Linked DNA regions of Caenorhabditis elegans. The protein of the gene in region 1 purifies or fractionates together with the protein of each later gene. This does not show direct contact. Each region holds a gene or a part of one and is shown in the gene's direction. Other genes may lie near its edges. The genes, in order: pqn-51 and C32D5.10.

Region 1 (16,047 bases):
AATTAAGAAAATCCTTGTTTAGTTGATGATATGCGTAGATCAGGGAGTTAGAAAATAAATCAAATTGGCAAATTGGCGAAACTTGACACTCTTGGCAAATTGGTATATTGGCAAACTTGGCATACTTGATAAATTGGCAAACTTGGCAAATTGGCAAATTGACAAAATTGGTAAGTTGGCAAAATTGGTAAATTGGCAAATTGGCAAACTTGACAAATTGGCAGATTTAACAAATTGGCAAACTTGGCAAACTTTGTAAATTGGCAGGCTCGAAAATTTAGCAAACTTGGAAAATTGGCATATTTGGCAAATCCGTCTATTGGAAAATTGGCAATCTTCGCAAATTTGACAACTGGGCAGGCTTGACAAATTGCTAAATTGTTAAATAGCCAAATTGGCAAATCGGCAAATCGTCTGCGAATTGTCCGTTTTCCGAAATTGCCGAAATTTGAAAAATGGCGATTTTCTGAAAATTTGAAAAGGATTTTTTTGAAGCAAAACACTTCCAACTTGAACAAAATTAAATCTTCAAAATTCCAACAAAACAACGCCATTTGAAATAAAATGTGTTATTATATAATATACAGGTAATTATTAAACTTAAACAATAATTATTCAAAAATATACTTACACCCTGCAATAGTAAAATGGAAATGATTCTATCTTGCAATAGTTTTGGCTTTTTCAACACTGGAAAAATGAAAAATAATAAATAGAAAAACACGACAAAGAATGAATAATTGGCCTTAAAATTAGTTTGAGAAAAAAAATATATTGAGATTTCAAAGTTATATGGGAAGCGATGAATCTTGACGGCGATCGACATATGGCGGAGGCGCCAAGTAGCTGAGCGGCGGGGCTGTAAAATGAGAAAATGAATAACAGATGTTTCTTGCTCCAGAATTAATGTTTGTTATTTTGTTTCGTCAAATATTTATTTTAGATTTTATTCAACTGATCCAATTGTTAAATTGGAAAGAATCTGGAAGTTTGATTTATCATGAGAAAATAATTGCGTGTTATGTTTTTTTTGTTTGGGATTTGTTTCAAAATTGCAGAAATGCTTGAATTTTGTTCTAATTTTCTCTAAAAACGTCATCGATGGGAACATATAAATATCTTCAATTCCAATTTTGTATCTGCTTTGTGTCTACACGAAAAACTGCTAACTAAAGTAAATATTAATTTTGAAGTGTTGAAAATAAAATTAAACGGACATTGGGTACTGTCAATCTTTGGAAAAAACATAACTAGGTTTTACAAAAAAATGTACCATTTTTTCGAGGCTAAAATCGGGGAAACTCAGTTTTTACCTATTTTTCTGGAAGCCGTAGATCAAAAAAAATTATTTTAGTTCAATATTTTAACTATGTTTAAAAATTCATATACCGTCACTTTAGGGGTTCCAACATGCGAAAGTTATACAAAAATGCACCTTTCAAATCTCCAAACGAGTTGTCAGTTCCAGATCTTCCAGTTTCAGATCTTCCCGTCTCATTTCTCTGAGAATCATTCCTTCTTCGCCGATTAGCATTGTTCCATACGATGTCTCGAAGTGTTCCCGATCTCATCATCGGTGGTCCATTTCTCCCGCAATCCATTGCAACAATTGCAGCAAATATCAACGCAAGAATTACAACGATTACAGCCAGGACTAGAAGCTGTGTCTCGCCACGTGTCCACACATCTGGAATGAGCAAAGCTTACTAGTTAGGCTGAGCGGAAATTTCCAAAAATTTCAAAATCGGCAATTGTAGAATATGTAATCGGAAAAAATTCCAATTACTTCAAAAATTGGGTTTTGCTAATTTTTTAAGTTCTTGATCTAAAATTTGTTTGAACGCGATATATTTCAAATCGCCGAAAAACTTTAATTGACGCCCACACCTGCTACATAATTAAAGACATGCAAACTACTGATATTTCTAGAACATACCGAATCCATCTCCAATATTATCTAAATTAAATGGATTCTCAGCTGCCATGAGCCCTGGTGTCGTTGTAGCCATATCCTCCATATCCTGATATTTGGCGTAAAATGTTGCGTAGAGCATGCTACGTTTCGATCGAAAACCGATTACCTCTTCAACCATCTGAAATTGATAGTACTACGTAAGAGGGGAGTGGTGCGAGTACTACGTTGTTTTTGTCGTTTTGACATGTTTTGACAGAGAGTAGGTAAAAAGAGAAAAAGATGGAGGGACAGAAAAAAAAAAAGTGAATTTTGGTGACGGTGATAATACTGATTTTTCTTCATTTTTCTCTTCCCCATCTATCTGTCCCGTTTCTGTTTTTGTTCGTTTCGGTTTGATCGATTATTCGATTTTATTCCTTTGCCCGTTATTTTTATGCGATGGGGAGGGAATCGAGAGGCGCTTCTTTTCTTTTTTGTTGTTAGTCAACAATATGGAAATTGCGGGAGAGTTTTTGAATTCTTGAAAAACGGGAAAATGGGTCTTGCCACGCTGACCATGAGTTATAGTAACTTGTAACAATTTATGACCATAAATTGCATCAAAAGTTTCAAATTACGATACATAAACGAAAATTTGTTGCTACAATTTTTTTGAGGGGATTTCAAAAATAATTTAGCTTTAAACTTTATATAAACTTACCATAAAATGACACAAATTACAGTAATTTGTTGGAAGCGTGGTGAGACCCAAACGCGTGAAATATGGCAAAAAATCCAATTTTAGAGTCCACGTAATATTGTAAAATATTTATCGAAAAAAAAGGGTCGTGAAACCGAATTGAACTGTTGAAAAACATTTGAAAATTATTCTAATTTTTTTTATGATACTTTGAAAAAATATTTTGCAAAAAGGCTTATTTTTTAACCATTTTTCCGCAAATTTAATTGATTTTTTACAGTTTCTACAAAACAAGCAAATCTATTTGAATTTGCCGAAAAACTCTAAAAAAGTTAACCTGGGCTAATCAGTCATTCAAAATTTTTTGTGCAAAATTTTAAAAAATCACAAAAAATTTTGAAAAATTTAATTTTTCAATCATTTAAAATGGGTCGTGAAACTGATTTGAACTGTTAAGAAACATTTTAAAAACATTATAAATTTTTTTCAGATTTTTAATACAATATTTTGTAAAAGAAACCAACTTTTTGCCCGTTTTTCGGGAAATTTAACTGATTTTTTTAATAGTGTCCGTTTGTGAAGGTAACAAACCAAGAAAATTAATTTTAATTTGCCCCGAAAACTCCAAAAAAAGTTTACCTGGGTTAATCCGAAATTCGAAATTTTCTTTGCAAAATTTGAAAAATCCAAAATTTTGAAAATTTTTAAATCTATTTTCCATTATTTTATGCAAAACTGAAAGTTGTGCATTCCGATAATCTCATCACGATTCAAAACAATATCGCATTATTTTCAAAATTTAGGATCTAGATATTTGTTGCTAGATACCATAACTTTAATTCTATCTCGTGCTACTTTGTAATATCACACTACTACATATATTACCAATTGATCAAAACATTTATGAAAACAAAATAAATGTTTAGTTGTATTGTTCACATGAACACTGTTATTGAATTTTCAATTGTCGACCTGCACGTTGGACACTCTCGAAAATCGCTTGCATCGTAGCAGCCGGAACATGTGATCAGATGACGACACGGCATGAAAACAATTGATGGTTTTGTTGCCAAACATATGCAACACTCGGCTACCAGCTTCTCCTGAAGACGTTGAAAATCGCGATTACGTGATCGAAGTTGCTCTTCGACTTCCTCGACACGACGTTCCATTGAGAGTTTTGATTCGTGAACATTGGTCTCTAGTTGTGGGAAACTCTCAAACTGAAATAAAAATCTATGAGAAAAGGAATCGAAATAGTTGAAAATATTATTACATAGGGCTTGCAATGACAAAATAATGTTTGGAAAACATTTCAGATCAAGGATAAAGTGCGGAAACTTTTTTTTGGCAGTTTTAAGCGATTGTGTCAAAAAATAAAACACAATTTGATAAATATTAAAATATTATTTACTTTACTTTAAAAATGCGAAAAAATTCTCCGAAAATGTACGAAAGTTTGACGAATTACTGTTTTTTTTTCCCGGAAATTGACGACTTCTACGTCTGTGGGTTTTCGCCCCAAAATTTTTTATGATTTTTTTTTCAAGTTTGTTCAAAAATTTGGCTGAGTTATTTTCGAATTTAATGCCAAAATTAATAACCTAGCTTCAACATTTCCGCGTTTTTTTTTTCGGATAACCTTATTGGGATTATTGATTTTGAACATGATTTGTAAATTTTTCAGACATTTTTCCATTGAAAACTTAATAATCCAAAAATATTCACTGAAGCTCTAAAATTAGCTCAACATGCGGAAAAATATCAGAAAATTTTAAAATTGTTGTGTTTCAAAAAAAAATTTAAAACAAAAAAATTAAAATAACCGAAAAAAAATTAAAACTACATGGCCATTCATTTGAATTTTTTTTTTGCAAAATTGAAAATATTTTTCAAAAAAAGGAATATTCTATGAATTAATGACAGTTGCATTCGATGTATTGAAACAGTTGTGTGCCATTTATGGGGTTATTCAAGTAATGTAGCAGAATGTATTTAAATACATTTCTGACGTCACATATGTATTTAAATACATATTTTTATGTACTTGAATACAGTTGTGACGTAATTTTTCTACACTTTTAAATTTTCCGACAATACTTGAATAACCCCATTAGATGTAAATAAACCCACAGACGCTACTCTTTTGAATTGATCTACATTTGTTTTTTTAGTATTAGCGCTTAAAATATGAGTAATAAAATCAAATTTTTACATTTTTACGTTGAACAATGCCAATAAGTTTTGAAAACGTTGATAAAAATGTGATAATTAACCCGTACAGAATATAGCAAGTTTCAACTAACCAATTCTTTGTAGAGCATTTTGACAGCATTGATGTTTGGCAAAAATTCAGTTGAAAGGTCGACAAGTTGACTGTGTTTCTTTGTTAATTCATCGAGCAGCACCAATGGCTTCTGGAATAATTAAAATATTCCTTAATATAACTGTTAAATAACCAACCAATTGATAACTTTTCTCCTCCATTCGTTTTGTAACATTAGTCTGTTCATCCAACAGGTTACTCTTCCGTTCCAGCTCCATCTCGACGTCGGTCTTCTGCTTTTGAAGGTTCAAAATCTCCTCGTCTTTTCGTGCTTTCTCTTCAGAATAAATTTTTTTACGATGCTCAGACAGCTCTTTTTGGTCGTGAATTTCTTGTTGTTGGCGGTAGTTTTGGATTGTCTAGAGAGCTAATGTTATAGTTAAAGGTTAAAAAATGTCAATTTCCAAGTAACCAACCAGTTTATCAAGTGCATCAGCTGTCTCTACTCTCTCTTCCATCAGCCTATTCATCTCATCTTTACAATCTTTCAAATCTTGCTCCGAATCTTCCAGAAGCCGCTTCAATTCTTGAACTTCTGACAAACACTGTTCTTTTTCATTTTCTAAATGGTTTATTCTATTCTGAAAAGACTCAAACTAGTTATGAGAGAGAAAGTTCATAAACAAGGTCACTACCTTAAGAATAGTGAATTGACTATCGACCTCCTTTCGATCACGTTCTTTTTCTCTTTCCAGTGTGGCGAGAAGGCGAACAATGTCGTGGGAGTCGCGGGTACTTCTGGAGGTTAAGAGGATTAGGTCAGGAACATTTATTGTGTTAGTTTTACTTTCAAGATGCAGTTTTTGTATATCACAATATTTTGCAGACACTTCTGAACTTGAAAAATAGTAAAAAAAAAGGTTTTTTGAAAAATTGCGACAAATTTTATCATTTTAATGTCAACTAAAGTGCACACTTACATTCAGGTTTTTTAGGACTTTACCTCGAAATTGACTTTTGCAGGGGCTGACACAAAATATATTGTAAAAGCAGTTTTGCGATTTTCGTACAAAAATATGGTACCCGGTCTCGGCACGACAAGTTTGTGTCTAATTTCAGAAAGTGCGCTCCTTTAAAGATTACTGTACATTCAAATTTTTGTTGGTGCGGAATTTTCATTGATTTACGATAAGCACGTGGAGTCAGAAAGCCCCATTCCGCTTTGATCTACGAAAAATGCGGGAGGTGAGACGAAGATATCTCAACTGATTTCGCATGATTAAGAGTGCTGACGTCACAATTTTCTGGGAAAAATTTCCCGCATTTTTTGTAGATCAAACCGCAATGAGACATCCTGACATCACGTAGATAAAAATATATCTAAATGTATTATTTTCTAAACTCAAATATAACTATAATGTGAATTTTAACAAATTTTGAAAAAATTTGATACTACTGTAATCTTTAAAGGCGCACACCTTTTCGCATTTGGAAAAATAATGTCGTGTCGAGACCTGAGACCGTATTTTCGGCGCAAAAGTCGCAAATTATTGCGTATCGGTAATATACTTGCCTTGGAGTTGACAAATGAAACGATGAAGATCTCCCAACCGAAAGATTTCGATGAGACTTGGAACTATGCGGGTGTAAACTTGTCACAGAGCTTGACATCAAATCTCTGAAAACCAAAATTTTCAAAAAATGGAAAGTCTGCTCAATTTACTAGGTAGGCGGCAAAACACCTGCCTGCCTGCCTGCCTGGCCTTTACCTGCTTACCCTGGACTATTATGTTTCCTGCTCGACCGGGAGTCTCCTTTCCCTGTCACTTTATTCAGAATGTCCAGCATAACATCAAAGTTCTCGAATCGCTCGAATTCTTTCGAACCTTCTTTCGAGTTGGCTTTCAGAGCGGAGATGATCTCTTCTTGGTTGTAACCCCACTCGGATGCCAACTTTATTTGATCCTACACGAAATTAAACATTTGGAATAATTGAAAAAAAAAACTGAAGTTTCGTTTTATTTAAGTTACTATATCAATTTAATTATTTATCTACAAATTTCAAACATTAATTCAAACATTTCTAGACAAGCAGAGAGATTTTTCGACAAAAATACGGTAGCTGGTCCCGACATGACTATTTTTTGTTAAATGCGAAAAAGATGTGCGCCTTTAAAGACTACTGTAATTTCAAACTTCGAAATTTTCATTGATTTTTAAAAGTTTTTCTCATGGATTTGTGTATTGTTACAGCGACGAAATTTTGAAACTACAGTGCTTTTTAAAGGCGCACGCCGTTCTGAACTTTAAAAACAATTATTCGTGTCGAGACCGAGTACCGTACTTTTGACTCGAAAATCCAACTGAAAAAAGCGCCAAACTTACATGGATGGAAAGATCAGTCATAGTCGATGAAATTGATAATCCTAGGGAATTATTACCTCAAAATAGTTTTTCAAACTTTTTTTATTGACTCAAGAATTGCATATGCAAAAAAAAGGCTAATCAAACAAAAGGTGAATCGTGAAAAAGTACAAAAAAAAATGAGGAAACAGATGTTATCATATAGGCGTGAAGTTGCACATTGTGCAAACAAACAATAAAAACTTGGAATGGAAGCAGAATGGCAGAAGAGGTGGAAAAACGACGAGTGCTGAAAATTTATGCATTTGAAGTTTTCCGCGATTGCCACCAATCCGATTATTGTTTAGTACGTCAAGTTTTTCGGGTATCAATGCGGTGGGTTGTTGAGTTTGAATTCTGAAAAAAAAATGGAACGACGAAGGAGAACAGCCATAAAGTCTGGAAAAAAGGAATCGGATACAGATTACAGTTTTTGTAGGAACTCACAATCAGTTGTTCTTTTTTTTTAAATTTATTTTTTAAACTTTTAAATAGTTTTCCGTCCACTTAAATCCCTTGAATACGGACAAACAAAGAAAAACAGCTAACTTTCAGACTTGGAATTTTTCTACAGTAAACTTGAAACGCGCTGCGAGACCCAACCCTTCAAAGGCGCACGGATTTTCATACGATGGTCCGTCACGAAATGTGTTAGCTTGAGAAATTTGTTTTCGAAAATTTCTCGTTTTTAATTTTTGACCAAATAAATTCGAACTTTGCGCGTTTTTTTTTGCTTTTATTTTTTATTTTGAAACAATTTCAGGAATTTTTGATTTAAAAATAGTTTCGATTTCAGTTTTAAATTTCATTTATTCGAGTAAAAAAAGACTGGAAAATATTTTTTCAAAGTCAATTTAGAAATTTTATTTTTTGTAAATCCTGCAGCTCGAGTATTGCACGGAAATAATTGTGGCTATTCGTATTTTTTCAGGTTTTCCGTTTTAAACATTGTGAAAATATTTATATTTATGTTTTTAGATTATTTAATTCCACCGAACGTGGATCCACAGAGACCCGAAGAACTCGGGGGATGTCCAATTGGGGGGATTACCAACTCGGGGGATTGGCCCCGCCCACAGAACCGTGGCTTGCAATACGCCCATTTCTGCAACTGCCGCACGGTTATAAAATTATTTTTTCTTGTTATTTCTCGCTCTATTGAGAAAAATACAGGTTTAAAACCGTGCGGCAGTTGCAGAAATGGGCGTATTGCAAGCCACGGTTCTGTGGGCGGGGCCAATCCCCCGAGTTGGTAATCCCCCACGGCCTCCACCACGTGAAATGCGCAGAGAGAGCGCAGAGAAAAAGGCGGTCTCTGCGTCTCTCACCTCCACAGCATGGCGAGAGTGCGCGCTCAACCACCTCACTTAGAAGGAGTCGGGAAGAAAGGAAATTGCATATTTCTGAAAAGAAACAATTGGAACGGATAAAGAGTACTGTCCTCTACAGTCTGGCATAAATTTCACAGAATAGTTTTGTCATTGAAATAAGTGAAGAGAGTGAACATAATATTACACATTCCCCTCTAAAACGAGCAAGTTTAAGATTTTTTCCCAAATTTTTTTTGTAAAATGTATTCAATATATTCCCAATTAATGAGTTAATACAAAAAAACCCCAATAAATAAGTTATGAGAGAAACTTTTTGTGACATCAAACATTACAGCTCAAAATTTCAGCACTTTCCGGAAGCTAGTGACCGTAAAATGAAAGATTTCAAAAATCGGAAACAATACGATTGTTCTAATTTTTAATACGCACATTTTAACATATCACACATAAAAATCCGTCAATGTTGAAAGATGTTATTTGATCTAGAAGGTTGACTACAGTACTAAAATGACCAAATTTTCAGATTTTTCGCAATTTTCAGGAAATAGTTGGCTTGGAGTCAAAAATCGGAAACAATACGATTGTTCTAATTTTTAATACGCACATTTTAACATATCACACATAAAAATCCGTCAATGTTGAAAGATGTTATTTGATCTAGAAGGTTGACTACAGTACTAAAATGACCAAATTTTCAGATTTTTCGCAATTTTCAGGAAATAGTTGGCTTGGAGTCAAAAATCGGAAACAATACGATTGTTCTAATTTTTAATACGCACATTTTGACATATCACACATAAAAATCCGTCAATGTTGAAAGATGTTATTTGATCTAGAAGGTTGGGTGCTTTGGTACAGTACCCACTCTACTGCGCCCTCACACTTTGGATGCTCCTATCTCCGCTCCTATGAAAGTTACAAAAAAGTTGTCAACTAACAAAATGTTCAGTTTGACATTGTGAACATTTTTTCTGTTGACAATATTTTTCTAACTAGTAAGACAAATTTTTTACAGGCCCCGAAAGCCGTATTTATGAGAAAATCAGAGATCAGTTCATAACTCAAAAAATAAAGACATTAGAAGAAAGTAGTCAACTACAAATTTGTTAGATATCTTATATAGAGTATGTTTCCGATAGAAAACTCAATTTTAATGTTCAGGATTTTTTGACATGGCCAGTTTAAGATGATCAATTTTCAAAAGTCAAAATCTCTATTATTTTTGTAGATAGAAATGTAGTTCTTGCTGGTAAATGTTGTTTTTTATCTGCTTAACATTTTCTCAGTTGAACATATTTTTGTATCTTCAACGAGAACAGAGATTTGATGGTTTTAAGAGAGGGTACCGTATCTGGGACTTCAATCATCAAATCATAGCTGTATCTTTTTAGTGGAACGAGATATCAAAAAATTGTCAACTGTGGAAATGCTCGCCTATTTGTGATGTTTATTTTGTCAGTTCATCGCTAGTTTCTATCTCCAACGCGAAAAAAGTTGTAGTTGTTCAAAGTCCATACGATACATCCACTTGCCACGTGAAGAGCGAGAATCAGCCCGAAGCCACAGTCGTACATATTTTCTTTATTTAAACCGTTCAAATACACTCATCGTATTATATTTAACAATTTTCAATCTAAAAAAGTGCTCTTCTGTCCAGAATTCTTCTAATTCCAACTAATTCTTGCTAAAAATCACTGAAAAACAGATCGTATTAACTATTTATTGTAAGTTCCGACTTTCCATTTTATCAACTTCACTATTTCTGTGAAAAAAATTCGAAATTTCGTTCAAAAATAGCGATTCTAGCTCAATTTCATGAATATCTGTTGAAAGCGGCGGCGAGGCAAGGTGGTCGTCCGCAAACGCGCAAACAAAAAGCGAGAGAGTGTGCGCATTTCTCGTGCGGGAGGCCGTGATCCCCCCAATTGGACATCCCCCGAGTTCTTCGGGTCTCGATCCACAAGCTCAAACAAAAATTACTTCCGCAATTTCGCGTCAATTGTGATGCTTGCGTACCTTTTCTCCATTTCGAAACTGCCGCCGCAAACGTTTCCTCTCTCTCGCCGTTTTCCCATTCTATTTTCATTTTCAACCGCTATAGTTCATTCAGATTCGAGAGCGTCGAGACAACAAAATATCCTGTTTGAATTGGCGCTCGTCGACAACCTGCACATCACTGTTGGTCGCTGACGTCACCCCTCCCGCTGCGGCGTATATATACTCAGTCGATCGTCGCTGCTTGCTGCCAGATTGGTGAGTCGAATTTTCGCTCTCTTCGAGTGTGTCTTTCTGTGATCAGAGGGCCCCGTGTGTGGTATAAAACATGAAAATTGTAATGAAATGCGTGTTGAAAATGTGAAAAATTGGAAAAAAACATTTTTTTTTTGAAGAAGGTATGTAAAATCGATTATGAGTCATATTTTTTGCAATTTCACCATATAATAATAATTTCTTCAAAAAATCGTCTACGCAAATTTAAGAACGTAACGTCACGTTGGAAAATCGATTTTTCTCAATTTTTTTTTTCATTTTGACTAGCCCGCTTCGAGAAACCTGTTTCTTGCCACTCTTAATGGGGGTTTTTATGAAATGAACATGGTTGGAAGTGTCGCAGACGAAAAATCTCGGAAAAGTTTATCTATTCATTTTTTTTAAAACAGGAACGACAAACGTCCAACATGGCACACGGCAATGGAATCGCCGAGCTGTACAAGTCGGTTATGGCCGATGTTATCGCCAATATGAAAGAAGCGTTTCTCGATGAGAACATCGACGTCGACGTTTTATCTCAACTCAGGAAAGAATGGGAGGATAAAGTGAATTCGAGTGGATGTGTCGACTTGGAGAGCAATGCACCACCACCGGCACCACGCCAACAGCATCACGTACCGCCGAGTGCCGTTCGTCCGAATCCGATGCCTCCACAGAGACCCGTTGCTCAGCAGCCAGTGAGAGCTTTGTCGGCTCTTCACGCAGCACACATTGGAGATGCTCCGATTCGAATGGCGTACACTGGCCAGCCAACGGTTATTTAATTTAATTATTGTTTTTTTTTAAATGCGACTAATACTCCAGCAGGACAAATTTCCAAATTTCGTAACGAAACTGCTCAAAAAATTGACTAATTTCTGCAAAAATCTCGAATTTTGGCCACTTTTTCCCTGTCACATCGGTCCGAAATTGATTTTTTTTTGAAATTATCATCCTTCATTGCAGATTTGGGTGGTTTATCTCATGTAATTTCGCCAATTAAAGTACATTTAAAGCCGATAGGTAACCGACAGGCTTTAAATGTACCTTAATCGATGAAATTAAATGATAGGGATGATAATTCCAAAAAATTCAATTTCAGACAGATGTGACACGGAAAAAGGGAAAAATTCGAGATTTTAGCTGAAATCAGTGCAATTTTTCAAAAATTTCGCAGTTTCATTATGAAATTCGTTTTTTTTAGCCCATTTTGGGTCTATACATTCAAAATCGTCAAGAATCTTGCACGACTCCTACGTAAACCACAAAACTAAACCATCGTTTTTCAGCAACATCCATCTCAAGTTCGCATGTTCAATCCACAATTTCAAGGTGGAATTCACTTTCAACCGGGACAAGTGTTCGTTGTGCAGCAACCAAATGGTCAGAATATTCCAATGTCGATTATGCCGAATCAGATTCCACAGCATCGAATTATTCATCAAGGACAGCCACAACAGGCTCAGCAGCAGCAGCCTCAACAGGGCAATCAACTTACCCATATGAATCAAATGGACGGAAATGTGGGATCCGAATCAGACGGAGAAGGACCTAGTGGACCTGTAAAACTTGCTCCAAAAAAGACAAAGTGCTCATTGAGAGTCCGTGGAAGTGGAGCAAGTGAGAAGAAAGCGATGAAAGTCTTGGGATCACTATTGAAAGACTTTCAACTCGACGGAGGTGGCGGTGGAATGTCTGATTCTTCCAGTGAAGATGAGCCTGACGATGATGATGATCCACTTCGAAGAATCGCTGATCGCATGGGAAATGGTGAAGTTGAAGATGGAGATCAAGTGGCAGAAGAGGAACCATTGAATTCTGAAGATGATCAATCAGACGATGAAGATTTGACGATGCTATTCGAGGCGGACAATGTTGTCATGTGCCAGTTCGAGAAGGTTAATTCTATTTATTTTATAAGTTAAATTGTCGAATCTTGCAATTTTCAGGTGAATCGTGCCCGTACCAAGTGGAAGTTCCAGCTCAAGGATGGAATTATGCACATCGACAAAAAGGATTACTGCTTCCAGAAGTGTACCGGAGAAGCTGAATGGTGATTCGATCACCGATTTACAACATCTTTAACATTATTATCATTATTATTTCCAAATAATTATTCCCCCATTCTCATGTCCCCGCTAGTCCAGGATCCAATGAACAATATGCCTGAAGTGTAGTCTCATGCACTGTGATTTCCGCCCTTCCGCCCCGTTTTCATCAATTTTCCTTCATCATCAGTGATTCCCGATTCTTACATCATTTCTGTCTTAAAACTTCTTCCTTAAACCAAGGTCTGTAACATTGAATTTTACGATAATTCTCTTTGCAATATTCTCTATTTGTTTGCCGTTTATCTTTTTTTTAAAGTTCATCAACTTCATTCGTAGAATTCATCTATAAAATGTACCCCACCAATTCCTCTCCAGTTTTAGTACTTATTTATGAATGGATGAAGTTTTCAGATCTATACTTATATTGTATTCAATTGGTTTTCAAATTTTCAATATTTTTTAGGTTCAATTCCAGATGGACTTGCTGCCGGGTTTTCGAGAAGAAATTCTCAGAAAATTTATCGGTGAAGGTGGAAAAATCGTAACAACGAAGCATCTGGAACGATTTCAACTTCTAATCACGGCGATTTCAAGGTACTCACTGAAAATTAAAAACAAAAAAGGAATAAAAATATATTCTAAGAGATGGAAAGCTTATCCGAGGAGTTTTGGATCAAAAATCGAGATTCAATCGAGAATTGATGAATCGTGAGAAATACGAAACACCTTATATCGTCGAATTGCCCGGAGACCATCCAGCTGATACAGAACATGTTAGATATAGTGTTTCTTTGGTAAGAATTGGATTTAATTCTGAAAATAAATGGAAAAAATTGAATCTTAAGTGATTTTTTAATTTCTGGCAAATCAGCAAATTGCCGAAATTGAAATTTTCGGCAAATCGGCGAATTGCCGGAATTGAAATTTCCGGCAAATCAGCAAATTGCCGAAATTGAATTTTCCTCCAAACCCGGCAATTTGCCAGAATTGAACATTTTCGGCAAATAGGCAAATTGCCAGAATTGAAAACTTCTGGCCAATTGGCAATTTTCCGAATTTGCCGAACGGCAATTGCCGCCCACCAATGAATTTGGCCATAGTGGCCCCCATATTTTGAAAATATTTATATTTTAACTTTATTTTTCATTTCAGCCGCGCACAAAACGAGTAATTGCACTTCGCTATGAAAAGGAAACACCTTCAACATCTTCTGAAACAAAAACGAAGCGAATCCGGACGGCTGCTCAACTTTTAGGAGATACTGAAGATTATTGTTGTAGGGTTAGTTTTTTTGTAATTTTCCAAAATTAATATGCCAAATATATTTCAGACTTGTTTCAAACGTTTCTCTCGGAAATTCAATTTGGAACGCCACGAGGACGGGTGTTTGCCGAAGCCAATTCTTTTCCAATGCCCAATTTGTCATCAAAAGTATAAAAGAGCTCCATATTTTGCGGTAAGCATCGAATATTCTTGGTTCAACGGAAAAATTTAAATATATTTTTTTTCAGGCTCATATTCGGCAACACGAAGCTGAAGAGAAACGACAACATCGTGACGTCAAACGTCTTGCAATTGAGCATGGAAATATGGACGAAATACGACGAAAAGCTGAAGAATCTGTGAATAAACTGTCGATTCCTTATGAATTCGGAACTTTTTTATAGAATTCGAATAAAAATTTGGAATATTTAATGCTGATGTTTCCAATTTCACAACAACAAAACACGATCGTTAAAATTATTCATTTGTCGCTTAGAAACCAGCGGATCGTCGCCTAGAGACTGGCAGCCCATCGGCATTTTTCTTCCAGAATGCCTTCACTTTAAAAAAATTTCCAATGAGAAATTTGGTTTTCTCATTGGTGTTTCTAATATTTAATCTAGTGAATAATATCAATAAAGTCAACTCGCAATGTACTTCGGACACAATTCGTGAGAAATTCTATAATAAACGTCACACTGTCGCATTACGGTTTGATCTACAAAAAAATGCAGGAATTTTTTGCACAAAAATATGTGACGTCAGCACGTTATTAGCCATACGAAATCAGCTCCCGCGTTTTTTGTAGATCTATGTAGATCATACCGAGATGGAGCACTCTGACACCACTTGAAACTTTACTCACTGATTCTATTTCAGCAAGCTCATTGGCAACGTTGACTCAGTATCAAGTAGGATCTGAAGGAGATCGTAAGAACAAATATTTGATTGAACAGAAAATCAAGTTATCTTGATAAGTTTCAGCGTATTACAGTCATTTTTTGGTCAATGGTGGTGCATCTTTCTCGTATGGAAATGCTTCAGCTACTGCTTTATATGAATTGGTTAGGAATATTAAATAATTTTAATTGTTAAATTAAAAAAAAAAGTTCTAGAGTGCTTATGCGATATCAGCTGCTACAACCAATTGCACATCTACATGTCTTACATCTGTTTCAGCTTATTACAAGACGGATTCTGACAAATGTATGTCCAATTTTTGAGAAAGAAAATACGGTACCCGGTCTCGAGGCGACAAGTTTGTGTTACATGAGAAAAATTTATCGAAAACAAATAAAAAATCAATGAAAATTCTGCAGCTTCGAGATATCGGTCGAGTGTTCGAAAATACAGTAATATTTAAAGACGCGCATTTTTCTGCACTTTTATATCCCTCAAAAGGGATATCTTACGTGGTGTCAGGCTGTCCCATGAAAGACGTAATCTACAAAAAATGCGGGAATTTTTACCCAAAAAATGTGACGTCACTACGCTCTTAACCATGCAAAATTAGTTGAGAACTCTGCGTCTAAATTCCCGCGATTCTCGTAGATCTACGTAGATCAAACCGAAATGGAACACTCTGACACCACGTGACATCAACTTTGACAGCTTTTATCTTGTGTCTCCTAAGTTTTATCAAAAATAGGCCAACTGACAAAAAACGTGCAAAACATTTTTCTACATTTTCACAGTTGAATATTTTTTGGTAGAACTTAAGGCAGCCGAGATATCAGCCGTAAAAGTAGAGCAGTACAGAAATGCTACAAGATAGGCGCGCCTGGTAGGCCCGCAATCAAGGGGCACCTCATTTTTAATTTCATCCCATTTTTCAGTGACTCTAATCATGCTCCGGCCATCGGATGAAGCTCTCTACCCAAACTACACCA
Region 2 (16,047 bases), on another chromosome or scaffold:
GATTTTTACCGCTCGTGAGCAGCCCATGACTACATCATTGTTAGTCAAGTAACATTATTTTTCCCTACCACCGAATTTTTCATTGTGCACCGTAATAATGATGTATAGTACTTTTGGTAATGAACGTCCGAGATATTATTTGTGAGTTTATTGTTTCATGTTGGAGTCTCATGTGAAATGTATTTTCTTCAAAAAATAGAGGAACTTGGGATTGTAAACAGTTTTGTTGAAAAGGAAAAGTTAAATTTCCAAATCGACGCAAAGGAAGGGTTCTGCGTACACGAGAAACGCGTCAATGTCTGTTTCTCGTGCACATAATATGTGTCCACTTCTCTTTTTGTTCGCGAATAAATTATTCGTTGGTCTCGTATAATCTTTACTATCGATTTCAGCAAACTTGTCACTTTCCTAGTTTGAAAATGCAACAAAATGGAGATCCACGACGCACGAATCGAATTGTTCGGTAAGTTTTATTTTCCCATGGATTTCCAACTAACTTTTTATTTTACAGATATAAACCACTCGACTCGACTGCAAATCAGCAGCAAGCCATCAGCGAGGATCCACTTCCAGAGTACATGAATGTACTCGGCATGATTTTCAGCATGTGTGGATTGATGATCCGAGTAAGAAAGTTGTGTAACTGCTCAAGAAAATATTTTTAATTTAGATGAAATGGTGCTCTTGGTTGGCTCTGGTTTGCTCATGCATTTCGTTCGCTAATACTCGAACCTCCGATGATGCCAAACAAATTGTCAGCAGCTTCATGTAAGGTTTTTATATATTTTTAAGCGAATATTTAGTTTTGATTACTTCTTCAATGTTCAATAATTTATTTCAGGCTTTCCGTCTCTGCCGTTGTGATGAGCTATCTTCAAAACCCTTCTCCAATCATTCCTCCATGGGTGACACTTCTTCAATCTTAAATTATTTCTTCATTTCGCTAAATAAAATTTCTATGTTTCAAACCATATTTATTTTTGGCAGATAATCGGAAAAGAAAAATTAACATTATAGAACAGTTTTAGCTTGAAGTCACTTCTAAAAGTAAGATTCTACACCGTCTCTAGCAAGTTGACGCCAAGGACACAAGAATATCAGAAAGTAGAACGAATATGTCCTACTTTCTTCCGATATCCAGTGGTTAACAACATATCCTTTTGCGCGGAGAGATGAAAGACGCAGGGATATTGAATAGTCTGGATTCGTTCATCTCTTGTTCTGGAGGGGTATGTTGTCGTACTTTGCAGTTCCTCCGTGTAGCCTACGTTCATCTTTTAGTGGTAACTTTTTGAAGACCTTATCAAACACTGTTTAATTGGTTCCATATAAATAGGATGTTGGTCATTCAGTACAAAATTATATTCTCCGCTTTCTAGCTGATCAAATGTTCAACGAAGGCTACAAAGTTCAAACTTTTAAAAATAGTTATTTCAACTGAAAAACTTTGAATACCATCTTACTGGCAAGAATTCGAGTTTACAAACCCTATCTCCAACTAACCCCGACCCTCTAGACCCTCTATATCCTTTTAAAATAATGAATTTACCGAAGCTACAGTAATCCTACAGTACTCTTCTGGCAACGAAAACAAGATTTTCAGCAATATTTTTAGTTGAAAAGTTTAATCGCATTGTGGCAGATATATCGGGAATACAAATATTTCAACTACGTTTGATCTAATTTTTTGAGAATTTATTAGGATGAAACATTTTTGTGTCCATTTTTCCAATCTAAGGATTTCAATGTTTGCCATGTATTAGTGTGACCTCAACTTCTCCCCATCTCTCCTTGGAGTTTTTGTCGAACAATTTCAAAAACCTGTGACGTATGAAAACATGTTTGAACCGAAAATAAGATTGGTATCCAGTTTTCAAACATCAAACTAAATTCAATCAGAATTGAAATGTCTGGTTTCTAATAAATCAGAATAATTTCTAAATAGTTGTCAGACCGTTGACCAATTCTTCTTCTTCTTCTCAACCGCCCATATTTGATCACCTGAGAATGTTCGTCCCTTGAAATCTAAAAACATTCGTTCCAATAGGATTCGTGAGAATCCTAAGCCTACACACTTAATTGAAGAATGGGGTCGCTGCTTATCTTAAACTGAAATCTGAATCTCCGTAAACGAACCTCTTCAGCCTGTTTTGCACCTCCTTTATCCTCCTCTTCCTTTTCCACTTTTCTTCCAATTCACTCACTTATTTCCAGTTGCACTTGTTCTAAAACCTGTCCAATTTACAACTTTTTATCACTTAATAAGACAACTAATCTATCATTTTAACTTCAGAACAATGTATACCGTCGCCGTGACCGGTGGTGCTGGTCTTGTTGGACGTTATGTTGTTCAGAGATTACTAGAAAATGAACAAATCGCAGAAATTCGGATTATAGATCGGCAGAGCACTTCCAGAGGTAAGTCTACTTGATTTCCATTTTTTTAAAATTATCTAAATCTGTCCGCTTTCAGATGAAAGCAGAAAAGTCAAGCTTTATCAAATTGATCTTAATGATAGAAAATCATTGGAAAATGCATTGAGAGGATGTGATGGTGTAATTCATTGTGCTCATTCACCATTTCCAATTTTTTATTCAAAAGATAAAGAACAGAATAATCTGATGTGGAGAGACAATTTAAATGGTAAGGTTCTCTCTTTTTCATCCTTATACAAAGTACAGAAACAAATTACTTTTTTCGTGTACAGTTTTTTCGCTACTTGGATTTCCAAGAAAACTTGTAACTTGTAACATCTAAAAAGTTTGCTATTTTAATTACTTTCACTGAGTAAATCCAAAATTCTATGACAGTAGAAGTGAATAATATATCACCTCTTTTACTACCGAAAAAATTAAAAAAGCCGCTGTGGTCAAGTGGCTAAAAATTTTGCCATTCACGTAAACGTTCGCTGGTTCAATCCCTGCGGTGATAAAATATTTTTTCAAGTTCTTTATTGACAATTATTGTAATTCTAAAAAACAATATTCCGAACTCCATAAATTTATAACTTGCTTTTTCTCCAAATGAGATTTCACATTTTCGCCTTTTCCTAAATCTATCCACCATTTGAACTTGAAATTTCGAAAAAAAAAAGGTTACACTGTAAGAAGCACATTCCAATTGTCAATAGACAAGCAACTAAATACACATCTTGTTGAAAACTTGACCATTCTGCGTCATTTCATTCTCTGAAACAAGAAATTGAACGATTCGAACGGAATTGGATATTAAAAGATGCAATACCATAGCTTTTAGTAGCTCTTTTGGAATCAGAAAAGAACTAGAAACATAGATGAACTATGGGATTTATAAAATTTTGTAAAATTTTGTTCCAAATAGAAATAAATCTACAGTAAATTCTCCAAAGTCTCCTTTTTTTCTAAAAATATCCAAAAATGTTGTTTGTTCCAAAAGAGAAACCCATTAGAACATCTGAATAAAACGTATTTTTCTAATTTTTATGTAAACAGAAATCATTCAAATACAGTGATCATTGATGAAATGAAGTTTATTTGAAAGATTATAGTGGTGAAAATAAACTTTTAAGTGTACAAAAATATTTTGAAACTTGGTAATGAATGAAAATATGATTTCCTACTAATTTTCTATCTTTTGAAATTGAACTTTCAGCTTTGAATACACCTGAAAAATATTTACAAAGGTGTGAGGATGAATTTTTTGTAGAATTTTCGAAGTTTTTGAAATTTTCAGAAAAACTTGGTGATCTGTATTAAAAAACTTCAAATAATTGTTTCTCTTTTTGTAGCCTGTGAGAGTGTAGTCGACACAATGACCAATCTGAACATCAAGACCCTGGTTAATATCGGATGTGCTTATTGCCCAATTCCAAATGAAGATAACTATGGATTGGCGCAAGACGTGTTTCTGTAAGTGTCAATTTGTAACATTAATATGTGAAATTGACTGATATTCTAGTGATTATCCAAGAAATTACATGCTGGATGAGTATGGAGAATCTCGTACTCGAGGAGAAATGTATGCGAGAAAGGCCGCAAAAAAGGGATCTTTCAATGGAATTTTCTTGAGACCAACATTTGTTTATGGTCTTGGAAAAAGCAAAAAGATTGACACAATCAAAGAATTAATTTTGAATTCTGCTCTACCATTTGTAACTGGAGAACGACGAGGAATGCATCAATTTGTAAGTTTTAGAGAGCTTCTATTTATTTGTGATATGTTCTACTTTGTCGGTTATGTATCATAAAATCCTTTCTCAGATATATGCTGGAAACCTAGCTGCAATCGCTGAAAAATCATTTTTCGGATTAATTTACAATTCGAAAAGATTGAATGGAGAAATTGTGTTCTGTATGGATGAGAACTGTGCTCATTCAATCAGAGATGTAAGTTGATAGAAAACAAATTCAACTTTTATTTTTTTTAACTTCCAGTTTTTCGAAAGTCGTTTTCTTAATCCAAATTACTGTCAAGAAGTAGCTGTCAGTTATTGGCCATCATTTGCCACTTCGTACTTAAACTATTGGAAGAATATGCTTGGATTCAAGGTACACTCTCAATTTACAGATAAACCAATATTTTTAATTTTTCTGAGTTTTTAGATCCCAGAAAACATTCTAAATCACGTTGCATTCCGTTTGTTCTTTGAGAAAACTGTTGGATTTCCTAATAAGAAACTGCGCCTGTTATTGAATTCTAAACCGGAAATCTCACAAGAAGAGGCATTCAAATTGTACGCGAACTCCAAAGCTTCGTATTCGAAGGAGGCAGTAAAGAGACCAACTGTGCAAGGATAATTCCAATTAATCCTAATAAACTTGAAGTTCAATCTGTTGAATCAGTTTCATTGTGCTTTATTAAAAATAATACTTTGCAAGTTATCAAATAAAAATTGTTGAAGTTTTGTCGTGTCGAGACCCAGTACCGTATTTGGCGTGTCAAAAATCGCGAAATTTCGCCTATGGGGATACGATAATCTAAATTTTAAATTCAAAATAGATGTATGATATAGGAAAATATTCCATCAATGTCTTTATTTTATTTATTTTGTTTGTATTTATAAATAATATATTTATTTCGAATGCTCGTCTGTTTCATGATATTGTCCTCGTGTTGTTCACGGCCGAAGTTTTTCACAATTGTCAATAGAGCGTTTTTGAAAACTCGTCCGCAACGATTTGAAACAAAATTTGTACAAAACTTTGTTGTACAAAATTCTGTACAGAATTTTGGCTCATTGTTTTCAATATTAACAAATCTTTGTTTTATTCTGCTTCTTTCTTTCTTCGGGGCTTACCAATTTATTAATTTAACTTTTGATTAATGAATAATCATTGTTTTTATTTCACACAAGTCTTCGAATATTTTGCTAATTTTAAAATATGAGAAATTTAATGGCAAAAAAGTTATGTTCATCGCTGACTGCGATCGGACCTGCGAGAAACCTGCTGACGCATTTCTCGATGCCAACGCCTCGCTTCTTCCCTCGCTCTCTCGTTTTTCTCTAGTTTCTGGGAATTCGTTCATGTGGTTTGATATATCGACTTTTTTGGCTTTAATTTCAACAATGTCAATACGAATTTATCAATCTGCAAGTGATATTTCATACCACGGAAGCATGCTATCGTATCTTTTCTGAAATTAATAGCCAAATCTCGAAACACGTTAATATTATCGTTCTAGAAGTGAAATCCGACGACATTTTTATTTTTTAAGCGATAGCTTGCTATGATTCATCATTTAAGTCATAGTGGAAAATCGATATCAGTATTTTCGGGTCGTCCTTGCCTCATTTCTGAAAAGAAAGTCATACTGCTCATTATTGATTTTTCTACTATAATGAGTGATAATAATAAAAGAAAAATTCTTTCAGAAAAACTATGGGGGACAGTGGTGTGGAACCTGTCATACCATCTCCATCAACAAGTTCAAACAACCCGGTTGAAGAATTGCAGTGCACAATCTGTTTATCTACGAGGTTGGATATAAATTCAAACAAACAACTAATTGTTAAAATTAAGATTCTCTCAAGAATGTCGCATCGAAGGATGCAATCACTCGTTTTGTTTTTCCTGCATTTCTGAATGGGTCTGCCAATCTCTACGCCCTTCATGCCCAATGTGTCGCAAGGATGTCGATAAAGTGTCGTATGATTTTTCAGAGCAAAAACTAGGACAAAAAGAGTTAGAACTTTTATTTTATTTATATTTACGATAATTTTCTGTTTCAGGATTGCAATCAAAGAATATCGAAGCGGGCATATGTCACTTACGCCTACAGATCGAGTTCAACTTCTCAGCGAAAGGAGACTAGTTGTCAGAAATTTAATGCATTCCTACAAGGTTGTAGGCTTGTTATCATCAGAAATGTGAGTTTGCTTGGCTTTTCCAACAAAACGTTCTATATTTCAGAAGCGGTATCGAAGAATCGAAGGAACCAGATGAAATCTTGAAGGTAAAAATTAGCACGCTATATAAACAGACTAAATATTTATTTCCAGAATGCATTGATTGAGTTAGCCGCTATCGTAACACAGCATATTCAAAAGGCAGAGATATCACTATCGGATCTTAGGACGGAGCAGGCTCGAATCAACAAGTATCAGTTTAATTGAATGAATATATTACCAAAAAAAGATTTCAGGTCAATTGTTTTCAATACGGTTACGTTTCGTCGAATGGTTTACACAAGCAAAGTCAAAGTAATGTATCCTGATTTGAAGAAAGTTAAAATCAAGCCATCTGATATTGCCAGAGAACCGGATCGTTTTAGAAATGTTATCACGAATTTTTTGATAGCTGAGTTCGACGCTATACCTTTCCAAAATGTAAGAAAATTTATTGAACTTTCTTGAAATTTTTAGAATTTTTCAGCAACCAAAACTTGCCGGCCACAAATGGAGAACAAAGTTTCTAGGTTCCTGCATCGATATGCAGCAAAAACAGCGCTATGCCGCTCAAATTTACGAGCTTATGCTGAGTCGTCCATCGGGTGATCATTTATTCCGGGTACGTCTACAGGAAATTTAATTTAAAACTGCTAGTTTTCAGAGAGAACTCAATGAAATTCTAACGCCTGTTAGTGCAGTTCATATTCAATTTTTGGACGATCATTTGGATGCAATTATTGCAATTGAAAAGTTAACAATCGAAGAATTCTACAACGAAGTTTACTATGATTCTATATACAATAGTTTCTCGAGTAACTTCTTTGATTATAACTCTATGGGACGTGATGATCCTCAAAGCCGATTCGAAGCACTCTTCAATCAAATTCATCGTGATATCGGAAGTACAAATGATTGGATGGATACTTATGTGGCAGGACGTCTTCTTCGTCAATCTTCAAATACTGATGGAACGGACCGTGCCACGAATAACGATGATGATAGTGATCGTTCTGAGTCGCCAGAAGAAAGAGTTCCAACGCCAATGCCTGACGAAGATCCACGTGAACAATCGTTGGCACGAGCATACTACGAACAAATGCTGGAAATGCCAAATCGGGTACCGCTGTCAATGAGAGCCTACCACATGATGCGTGATCGAGATGTTCGTGTTCGATATCCAACTACAGAAGAACCGGTTCCAGTTGAGCCTGTAACATTTGGACAAACTACTAGAACTTTACCTATTTCACAGCAACCGACAACTTCTCGCAGTCATATGACGCTGAGATCTGCAATGAGACGTTTAGATTCCGATCGTCCGACAGACGAAGAGATTCCGCCGATTGAGAGTCGGCCCCAGACACGCCGCGAAATCGAAAGAGATCGACTTCTACAAAGAGTTCGGGAATTTGATAATCGATCACGAGGGCTTTCGGTGAGTATTATTGAGAATTTATAAAGAAGTGAATGTATTTAATTTAATAGTAAGTAAAACTTGAAGATTTTCTATATTTCAGAGTCTCTTCCGTCACCCTGCATCGTCGGATTATACAAGTCGACGATTCACTTCTGATGGTTATTCTGGATTGGTTGGTTTAAAAAATATATAAACATAAAATATCATCAAAATTGTTTCAGGTTATGCTCTCGCCACGGTTAAATTCAACCACTACATCATCTACGAGTATACCTGTTTATCAGCCGCGAACTATGACGAGTAATGATTTCGCGCATTTAAACCGAACCAGAAGCATTTTGGAGAGAAGACATTTCCCACAGCCACCACGGGAGCAAAGAATCGAAGAAGTGGAACAACTTTTCAACAGAGCTTACCAAAATATGCAGCAAACTCATCAAGCAATTCAAGAACATGCTAGCACAAGCAATGCACCGACACAAATTCCTCGTCCAGCAACTCCAGCACCCGCTATATCTGACGAAGAATCTCGATCACTTGCGGAAATTGTTGCAACCATAAATCAGGAGGATGCTGATAATGGACTTGACTTTATTTCGGTTGCTCATCGAACAAGATCCGCAAGAAGAGGTAAATTTCTAACTTTAAATTGTTTTTTACCGAAATTTGATTTTTCAGCAGCCGAAAACGGGCATCCACCCGAGGGACCACCAGCCAAAAGATCAACAAACTCTCGTCGTGATAGACGTTAATATCCAAGAAATACGCTCATTTAAAAAAATAATCTTGTTCGAGTTTCTTAAACATTATATCTGTATGGATAAATGTACACTCGCTTCTTAAACAACCCGTTTCCTTCACTGTTTAGTTGTACCTTGTGACATGTACATTCAAATGTTACTCAACCCCCGTTTTTTTTCATTCTATGTGTTCTGCTTTTTTCAAAAACTTTATTAAAATATTTAATGAAATGTTAAAATAATATTTTGAGCGAATCAGTTTGTGAAAACTGTTTTATAGACAGGTTTTTGGTATTTTCTGTGTGTTTTTTTATTATTTATGTTTTATTGAGAAAGATGTTTTGTTTGAGAGCAACGAATCTAATAATAACAAAACTTACTATAAGCTAGAAAATTCCAAAAGATGCACCCAACTATTTTTTTTTCCAATTTTTCATAATAATCTATTTGTGAGTGTTTTCTCTGTATCCGGTTTCTGTTCTTTCCATTTTTTAAGGGAAATTTCCTTATAAAAATTCAAATATCTCAAAACTATGCTTGTGCGCTCCAATGAGATCTATTTGATTGCTTCCATCTTTATCAACATTTTAGGCTTTTTTATTTTACTTCGACTACCTTCTTTCTTTGATATTAATTTTAATTTATTAATTTAATTTTTAAAAGAGAAACTGAAATTTCAAACCAGAATATGGGAAAAATTAGTTAGAGTTTTCAAACTTGAAAATTTTGCGCAAACTGAAAAATATTTGTGAGAAACTAAAAAATTTCCGATAGTTTATTTTTTAGAGGAATATTTCAAATCTCAAAAGAATTGAAAAGCTCAATGGATTCTCCGAGCACAAGTGAATCACCACTGAAAAAGAATACAATTCAGGATTTTGGAGAAAGTAACATGACAGAAAGTCCCCAGTCTAAAGAAGAAATCGACGAACCGGAAGAGGAGTGTTCGGTATGCAAAAATGAGTAAGTTCATTCAATAGTATTAATTAAAAATTGATTTATTTCAGAATTATCGATACAACCTCGTTGAGTGATTGTTGCCATGAATTTTGCTACGATTGCATTGTAGGCTGGCTCACGAAGGGATCCGGTCCTTTCTGTCCAATGTGCAAAACACCAGTTAGCTTCATCCAACGGAAAGGAACCGATGAGAAAATAACCGTCCAGCAAATAAAATCCGAAGGAGAGCCAGCAGCGACTGCTTCAGAAGATCTTGTGACTGAGAAGAGAATTGTGTCGAGAAAAATTCGAAGTTGTCGAAGGCTAATGAACCAAATTGACGAGATCATGTAAGAGTTTTCGATGAGTAATATACAAATTGTATTTGAACATTCTTTTAGTGGAGCAACATCAAGTAGATCTGATAGTCAAAAAAGGAAGCCACGATTAGAAGAGTTGAACTCGATGAAACAACTGTGTGTCTCACAATTGAACTCCCTGCAAATGCTCCGAGACGACATTGATCATGGAGCAGCAAAAGCATTAATTGTCTCAAAAGCCGCATTCCGAAGATTGATCTATGAGCGTCAAGTTATATCAGAAGGATTGCCAGATGCAACTAATTCTCTGTCGAAAACTGAATTCCGTGATAATATCGATCACTATCGAGCAGTTTTACACAGTTTCTTGAGCGTCGAGTTGAAATCCCTTCCGGCGAAGACGGTAACGTTTCCCATTAAAACATAAAAGTGTTCTAATGAAAAGTATTTCAGCAACCACGTGTCGACAATGAAAATAGCTGGTATTTTTATACACTTCATGATGTGGCCGAGGGAAAAGACGAAGAGATTATCAATAGAATATTCAGTATGATTGAAGATCGTGGAACGCGTGATCTTAATGCGGTAGTTCAAAAACAAATTTACCATAAGTTTGAAATGTTTCAGAGAGAAGTTGATGCAGCATTGAATGGGCTTGTATCATGTCGGGTTGTAATTGCATTTATTGCTGAGCTGAAGTCTTTGATTAACAGTCGAAAGTCATTTTTGGAGTGGTGCGGTGCCATAACATATCGAATCAGAACAGATCGCGGAGGTGAAAGTGCTGGAAATGGTAGAATCATATTTGTACTTAATTTCAAAAAATCGTATCTTCCAGATGTTGTGACGGTCGACGATTCAATTGAGCTTGAACCCGAAGAAAATAGATCAAACCACAGGTCGCGCCGATTCCCGGTTTTTACACCATTCGACCGAGTTTTTGGTATTTAATTTTTTATCATAATATGCTTTTAAAATATTATTTTAATTTAAAACTTCAAAATAAAATTTTCAGGATCTACCATGGGACACATGTATCGAGGACAACCGCAAGTGAGTTTGCCGCCCCTTTATGACCTGTTGAGTGTAAGTTTACATTGTAGCATTATCCTGCCTCATCATCTGACACCGACCAGGACGATGACATCTACTTTCAGGCTCCTCTTCGTCTTGGCCCTAATGCTACGAATCCGTTCAGGCCAGCTCCGCTCCCGGTGCCGTCACGTAAGATTTTTCAGATCGGCTCTTCAAAAAGTTAAATTTTTACAGAATTACCAATCGCTGGTATTCCATGGGCAGAATTAACGACATCTTCAGCAGGTGCTGGTTCTGCTCGAAGTCGTGGATCCGACAGTGTAGTAGAAATTGACGATGATGATGATAATGATGGTGTCGATGTGGATGATGATGACAGAGAAGACAGTGATGAGCCAAGAACGTATTCAAATAGTGAGGAAGATAGCGATGAAGAGATTCAAGTTGTTGAACGTGATGATACTATTATTCTTGATGATTCGAATCGATCACTTCCTAAACCTGTAGCAAATGGTAGTGCCGACAGGAAGAGAAAGTACGAATTTCCATTAGAAGATCATTGGAAAAAGGCCAAAACCAGCCAGTTACCTGAGGGGCTTGTTGACGATGTTCAGGAATTGATCGCGAAGTACAATATGCCGTTAACACAATCAATGAATATGCTTGTCGGCGCAGCACAAGAAGCCATTATCAGGATTAACAAACCAATGCCAAGCACTTCAAGGTGGGTTTGAAAAGATTTTATCGTGGATATGTAATATTCCAATTTCAGTGCTCCAGACATTTCGAAGTTCAAACCTGATGATATGTTACAGCTAGCAAGTTGTAAGTTTGTCATATTGCAGATCAAGTCTCATAACTAATTTTTACAGATCTCTCTCGAACTGGTGCACTTTCAAGGCGACAGTAAATCGACATTTGATCTCTGTTAAATCAATTAAAAAGGCGGATATCGACGAGTTTTCAAACTTTTTCCTAGGCATATCATAATTTTTTACAACTTTTTTACTTTTATTTTTTCTGACATTTCGATGTTTCGTAGTAGCAAGTTTCCAAATGTTCCATCCTGGGCTACAAGCGAACTTATTCGGCAATTTTTAGATTTTCGTTGTTTACGGTTCAAAGAAAAAAGCGTTTTTCATATTTTTATTGTTTCTCCATGTTAGCTATCATTTTTTATTTATTTATATTTATAGCTTTATTCTGATTATTGTACTTCTGTCCGTGTAAAACATTTCGTCACTATTGACTGTCTATAAATTTTTAACCTTTGGTTTATTGTTTGGTTATTTTTTTAATATTTTTTCTCGGTTTGCTTCCGGCAAATTTTTATCTTGTTCCTTTTTATATTTTTGCCTTTCTGATCGATTACATGGAGTGCACCCTAATGTCTTTAAGATCTTTTAATTGATTTGTTTTATATTGTCAGTTCTAGCGTTTTACCAGCTGGTCTTGAATGCCCTCTTCTAGTTCATTACATTCTACGTCACGGTGACAGCTGTGAATGTGGATGATGCTCTCATTGCTCCAACTCTTTATTTTAGAATTATGTCGCTAATGCACTTTCCACCTACATATTATTGTATGGATATAGTAGTTATATATCGTTTATTTCGTTTAGTTTTAGCATATTATGTTCCTTTAATAGCAAAACATACTCAATACCAACTGTTGTCTAGTTGTTATTCTAACCTTTTATCACTTTTGATCATTTCTAACGTTTAAAATTTCCTATCAAAAGAATCTAAGAACAAACAATCTGTCGATCGGCACCTGAAACCCCGATGATTCTACACCATGCTGCTCTACTTCTCTCAAACCATCCAATGTTTCCCTATACTCTCTTGCTCTCCTCTGCCTGCTGTCTCGTTTCGCCGCCGTATGACACAGTCACATGATGTTGAGTCGTGGTGTCTCGTCGTCTCCGCCCCTCTCTCATCTCTCTCTCTTTCTAGCTAGTGCCATTCGTCTTGGTGTGTTCAGTCTTGCCTCTCGCTCTTCTTTGCGACTTTCTGCCATTTCTTTCACTTTCTGGCGACGTCGGTAGCGACAGTACTTTTTTATTTAAAAGTTTGTAATTTTAGTTGGTTTGTTTAAAAAACCGGTTTCAAATCAAAATCTTTTTTAGATTTGAAATTTGAAATTAAGAAATGTTTCACAAGTTTGACTATTAAATGTACGGTTTAACAATTCTATCTAAAAATATTGCTAAATCATACCAAAATTATTTATTGAACGGTCATATTAATCTAGTTAATAGTTGATTACTAAAGTCTTTCAGAATTCAATTTTTTGGAACAATGCGCTAAGAATATTCGTAGAAACTGGTTATGGATACTAGTGAATATTGGATAAATGTTACTAATATATCGATCGACTTTCAGTCTTCCCAGAATTACAGTTTCCCCGACAACCTCTAAACAGCTGCATTGTACTTGTCCTGTTTCTCTGCATCTCAACAAAACCAGGCCAGACAAACATAGAAAATCAATAGGATGTCTCCTGCGTCTACGCGCTCTCATATGACCGATGTGCGCGCACACTCCCTCTCTCACTTGCACACGGGCCATTCTTGCTCATGCTCTTTTTGCCTTACTAGTACTCGTCGTCAATTTTATATAGATTTCGCAATGTGTTATCGAATCGGTCAATCTCTCAAAACCCATGTGATGTCACCTTCATTCACTCTCACTTGTTACACCTTTCTTCTCTCATGGTTCTTTTATGATTTTTCTGTGATTTAAAGTATTTTTATTCCAGTAACCTTCTCTTCACACTAACCTTCGAATCAAAATGAAGTGGGCTTACAAGGAGGAGAACAACTTTGAGAAGCGTCGTGCCGAAGGAGACAAGATCCGCAGAAAGTACCCAGACCGTATTCCAGTGATTGTTGAGAAAGCACCAAAGTCAAAGCTCCATGACTTGGATAAGAAGAAGTACTTGGTCCCATCCGATCTTACTGTTGGACAGTTCTACTTCCTCATCAGAAAACGCATCCAACTTCGTCCAGAAGATGCTCTGTTCTTCTTTGTCAACAATGTCATTCCACAAACCATGACCACAATGGGACAACTCTACCAGGTAACTAACCAGTCGTTTATTTTCATTTAATTAACCCTTTTCTTTATTACAGGACCATCACGAGGAAGACTTGTTCCTTTACATCGCCTACAGTGACGAAAGTGTGTATGGAGGAGAGGTCGAAAAGAAGGAATAAAGTGTCATGTATTATCCGCCGACGAATGTGTATACTTGTACAATGGAAATTTCATACTTCTAATGGAAACCCAAAGCCCCTTTAAAAAAATCTTCTCATTTTCTGTAATAATTCTGTATTTCCTTCACATTTTCTTCTCATTTTTCTCGTATGACGGTTCCGAGTAGTGACTTCTATTCAAACTATTGTCTACGAAGTTGCTCTTCTCCCCTCCCAGAAAATCATGTTTTCTCTCGGATTTTGATATTTTTTTGCTATTACTTTCAAATTTTTGATTCATGAATAAACGAAGAAGACACAAACAAATTCATGTTCATGCTCATCGTTATTTTCGGCCAGCGAATGGAATACCTCCAACAGTTAGCAATACACATTGCGAAATCACTTTTTCATCTGTATAGAATTGACGTCACATTTGTATTACGTAAACATCATTGTAGATTTCTGAACAAAGTATAGAGAAAAATGAGAATTTTATTTCGAAAATGGTGACACACTTTTGGCAAAAAGGCTCTTTGTATCCATTAGTCATCTGTCAAATGACAGTTTATTCTAGTTGTCATCGTCTGAAAATGTCATAAGAGGGCTCAAACGTTGACTTAGGAATCATTTTTGATTCGATTCTGGCATATTTTATCATTTTCGAGACACAATTTTGGTACTACCCATTTGCAGAAGTTTGAGATTTTCAATGCGAAAATACGGTAGCCGGTCTCGGCACGATGGAAACTTTTCAGCTACCGCACCCAAAAGTGTTTCGCAATTTTCACCTGTATCTGTTGTAATAGTTTCACTTAAAATTCCACATTTTTAAAGGAAAAACCGATACATTTTTGGAAAATTGTAGGAGATCATGAAAAATTAAAAACAAATACTTGCGGATACGGTATTTAAATAGTTTTGGCCGTTTCGAGACCGAGTACTGTAGGCTAACTCTAAAAAAATCTGCAAAATTTTCAAGATGTATAATTAAATACATATTTTTGAGATTAAAAAAAGAGTCTCGTTTCTCTACATCTTACTATTGTAAATCTACGAGTCGCCGCTGCTTCCCAGTCAAATCGATTCTATAATTACACCTTCTCCTTTTCCCTTTTTCCTCTATCCATTTTCTCGTTGTTTTCCCTTCGTTGCTATTAGAAACTGGCATGGCTTTATTCATAAAGTGGTGTTTATACTCTTTTTTTTTCTATTTTTCTGCCTTTTTGAATTCATCACGTGTATGTTCTGCCATCTCTTCTTCTTCTTATTTTTTTCAATTTGATCGCAAAATTCGATCGAAAACGTGACCTTTACCTTTTGAACGGTGTATTCGTTATCTCATCGGTTTCCCCATCATTACTTGACTGTGATGGGGAACACGGCGAATTCGAATTCGAAACAACCAGCAACGAGTGCCGCGCAGATGTCGGTCGACCCAAAAGGTAGTGAAACACTGAAAAATTTGGCAAGTTTCTCAGCAGGTGACCTGATAAACACGAAAGTTGTTTCGTTGCGATCGGGTATTATACGTTTACTTTTTGATTAGTTGTACATGGTTGGTTGGTTAACATGGTTGGTTAACCAACCACCACGTCATCTTATTTTTTAGATATCAATTCCATAGTGTACGATGAAAGTCAGTCGAAAGTATAAGCCCAGTTTAGCATTCAAGTAAATTTTTCAATAACTAAGATACCGTTTTTATATGCTCACTAATGTTTCTTATATAGATCACACAATCAGAAGATATTCGGAGCATTTCGTAGTAACCTGTTCATTCCATGAAAAAAGTATTTGCGATCAAAAATTCAGTGGTTTCATATAGGAGAGACCATGATCATGAATAAACAAACAAGAGTGTCTCGCTTTCTAGTCATAGACTATCACTTCCAATCTATACTCTTTTTTATCATTCCTTTCAATTTATTTACTTTCTTCTTTCAACCTAGACTTTTCTTCTTCGATAAACTGGAATAATCGAACTTTGTGAAGCATCAACTTGTCGTTTGGCACATCTTCTAAAAAGTTT

What was found.
Region 2: the proteins of pqn-51 (region 1) and C32D5.10 fractionate together in Caenorhabditis elegans (co-fractionation; one large-scale study listed by BioGRID). This does not show direct contact.

The regions. Positions count from the first base shown.
Region 1 is NC_003283.11:5,038,903-5,054,949, forward strand, and holds pqn-51 (Prion-like-(Q/N-rich)-domain-bearing protein), read left to right. Parts: upstream 1-10,704; 5' UTR 10,705-10,733; coding exon of another isoform or gene 10,734-10,784; 5' UTR 10,785-10,847; intron 10,848-11,254; 5' UTR 11,255-11,272; coding exon 11,273-11,620; intron 11,621-12,133; coding exon 12,134-12,742; intron 12,743-12,793; coding exon 12,794-12,901; 3' UTR 12,902-13,312; downstream 13,313-16,047. Other genes in the region: K11D12.8 (uncharacterized protein), read right to left, coding at 789-859, 1,436-1,687, 1,937-2,093; exc-14 (RING-type domain-containing protein), read right to left, coding at 3,530-3,817, 4,901-5,011, 5,058-5,279, 5,337-5,501, 5,556-5,658, 6,434-6,538, 6,638-6,825, 7,246-7,266; K11D12.12 (C2H2-type domain-containing protein), read left to right, coding at 13,371-13,489, 13,539-13,689, 14,048-14,176, 14,226-14,351, 14,407-14,562; cwp-4 (Coexpressed With Polycystins), read left to right, coding at 14,736-14,829, 15,038-15,088, 15,143-15,222, 15,274-15,364, 15,994-16,047.
Region 2 is NC_003280.10:6,345,252-6,361,298, reverse strand, and holds C32D5.10 (putative RING finger protein C32D5.10), read left to right. Parts: upstream 1-9,311; 5' UTR 9,312-9,348; coding exon 9,349-9,488; intron 9,489-9,532; coding exon 9,533-9,814; intron 9,815-9,865; coding exon 9,866-10,187; intron 10,188-10,237; coding exon 10,238-10,369; intron 10,370-10,411; coding exon 10,412-10,577; intron 10,578-10,622; coding exon 10,623-10,727; intron 10,728-10,799; coding exon 10,800-10,837; intron 10,838-10,941; coding exon 10,942-11,008; intron 11,009-11,053; coding exon 11,054-11,543; intron 11,544-11,591; coding exon 11,592-11,644; intron 11,645-11,691; coding exon 11,692-11,729; 3' UTR 11,730-12,092; downstream 12,093-16,047. Other genes in the region: K10B2.4 (Protein Asterix), read left to right, coding at 420-463, 512-626, 671-768, 842-926; C32D5.12 (3-beta hydroxysteroid dehydrogenase/isomerase domain-containing protein), read left to right, coding at 2,298-2,418, 2,474-2,644, 3,768-3,888, 3,938-4,163, 4,240-4,365, 4,414-4,527, 4,582-4,776; C32D5.11 (RING-type domain-containing protein), read left to right, coding at 5,860-5,957, 6,001-6,162, 6,210-6,347, 6,391-6,433, 6,480-6,577, 6,623-6,806, 6,853-6,987, 7,030-7,803 and 3 more; Protein lgg-1, read left to right, coding at 13,613-13,900, 13,953-14,036; txt-18 (transcellular chaperone signaling (x)cross tissue), read right to left, coding at 15,942-16,047; C32D5.8 (protein-disulfide reductase), read left to right, coding at 15,388-15,460.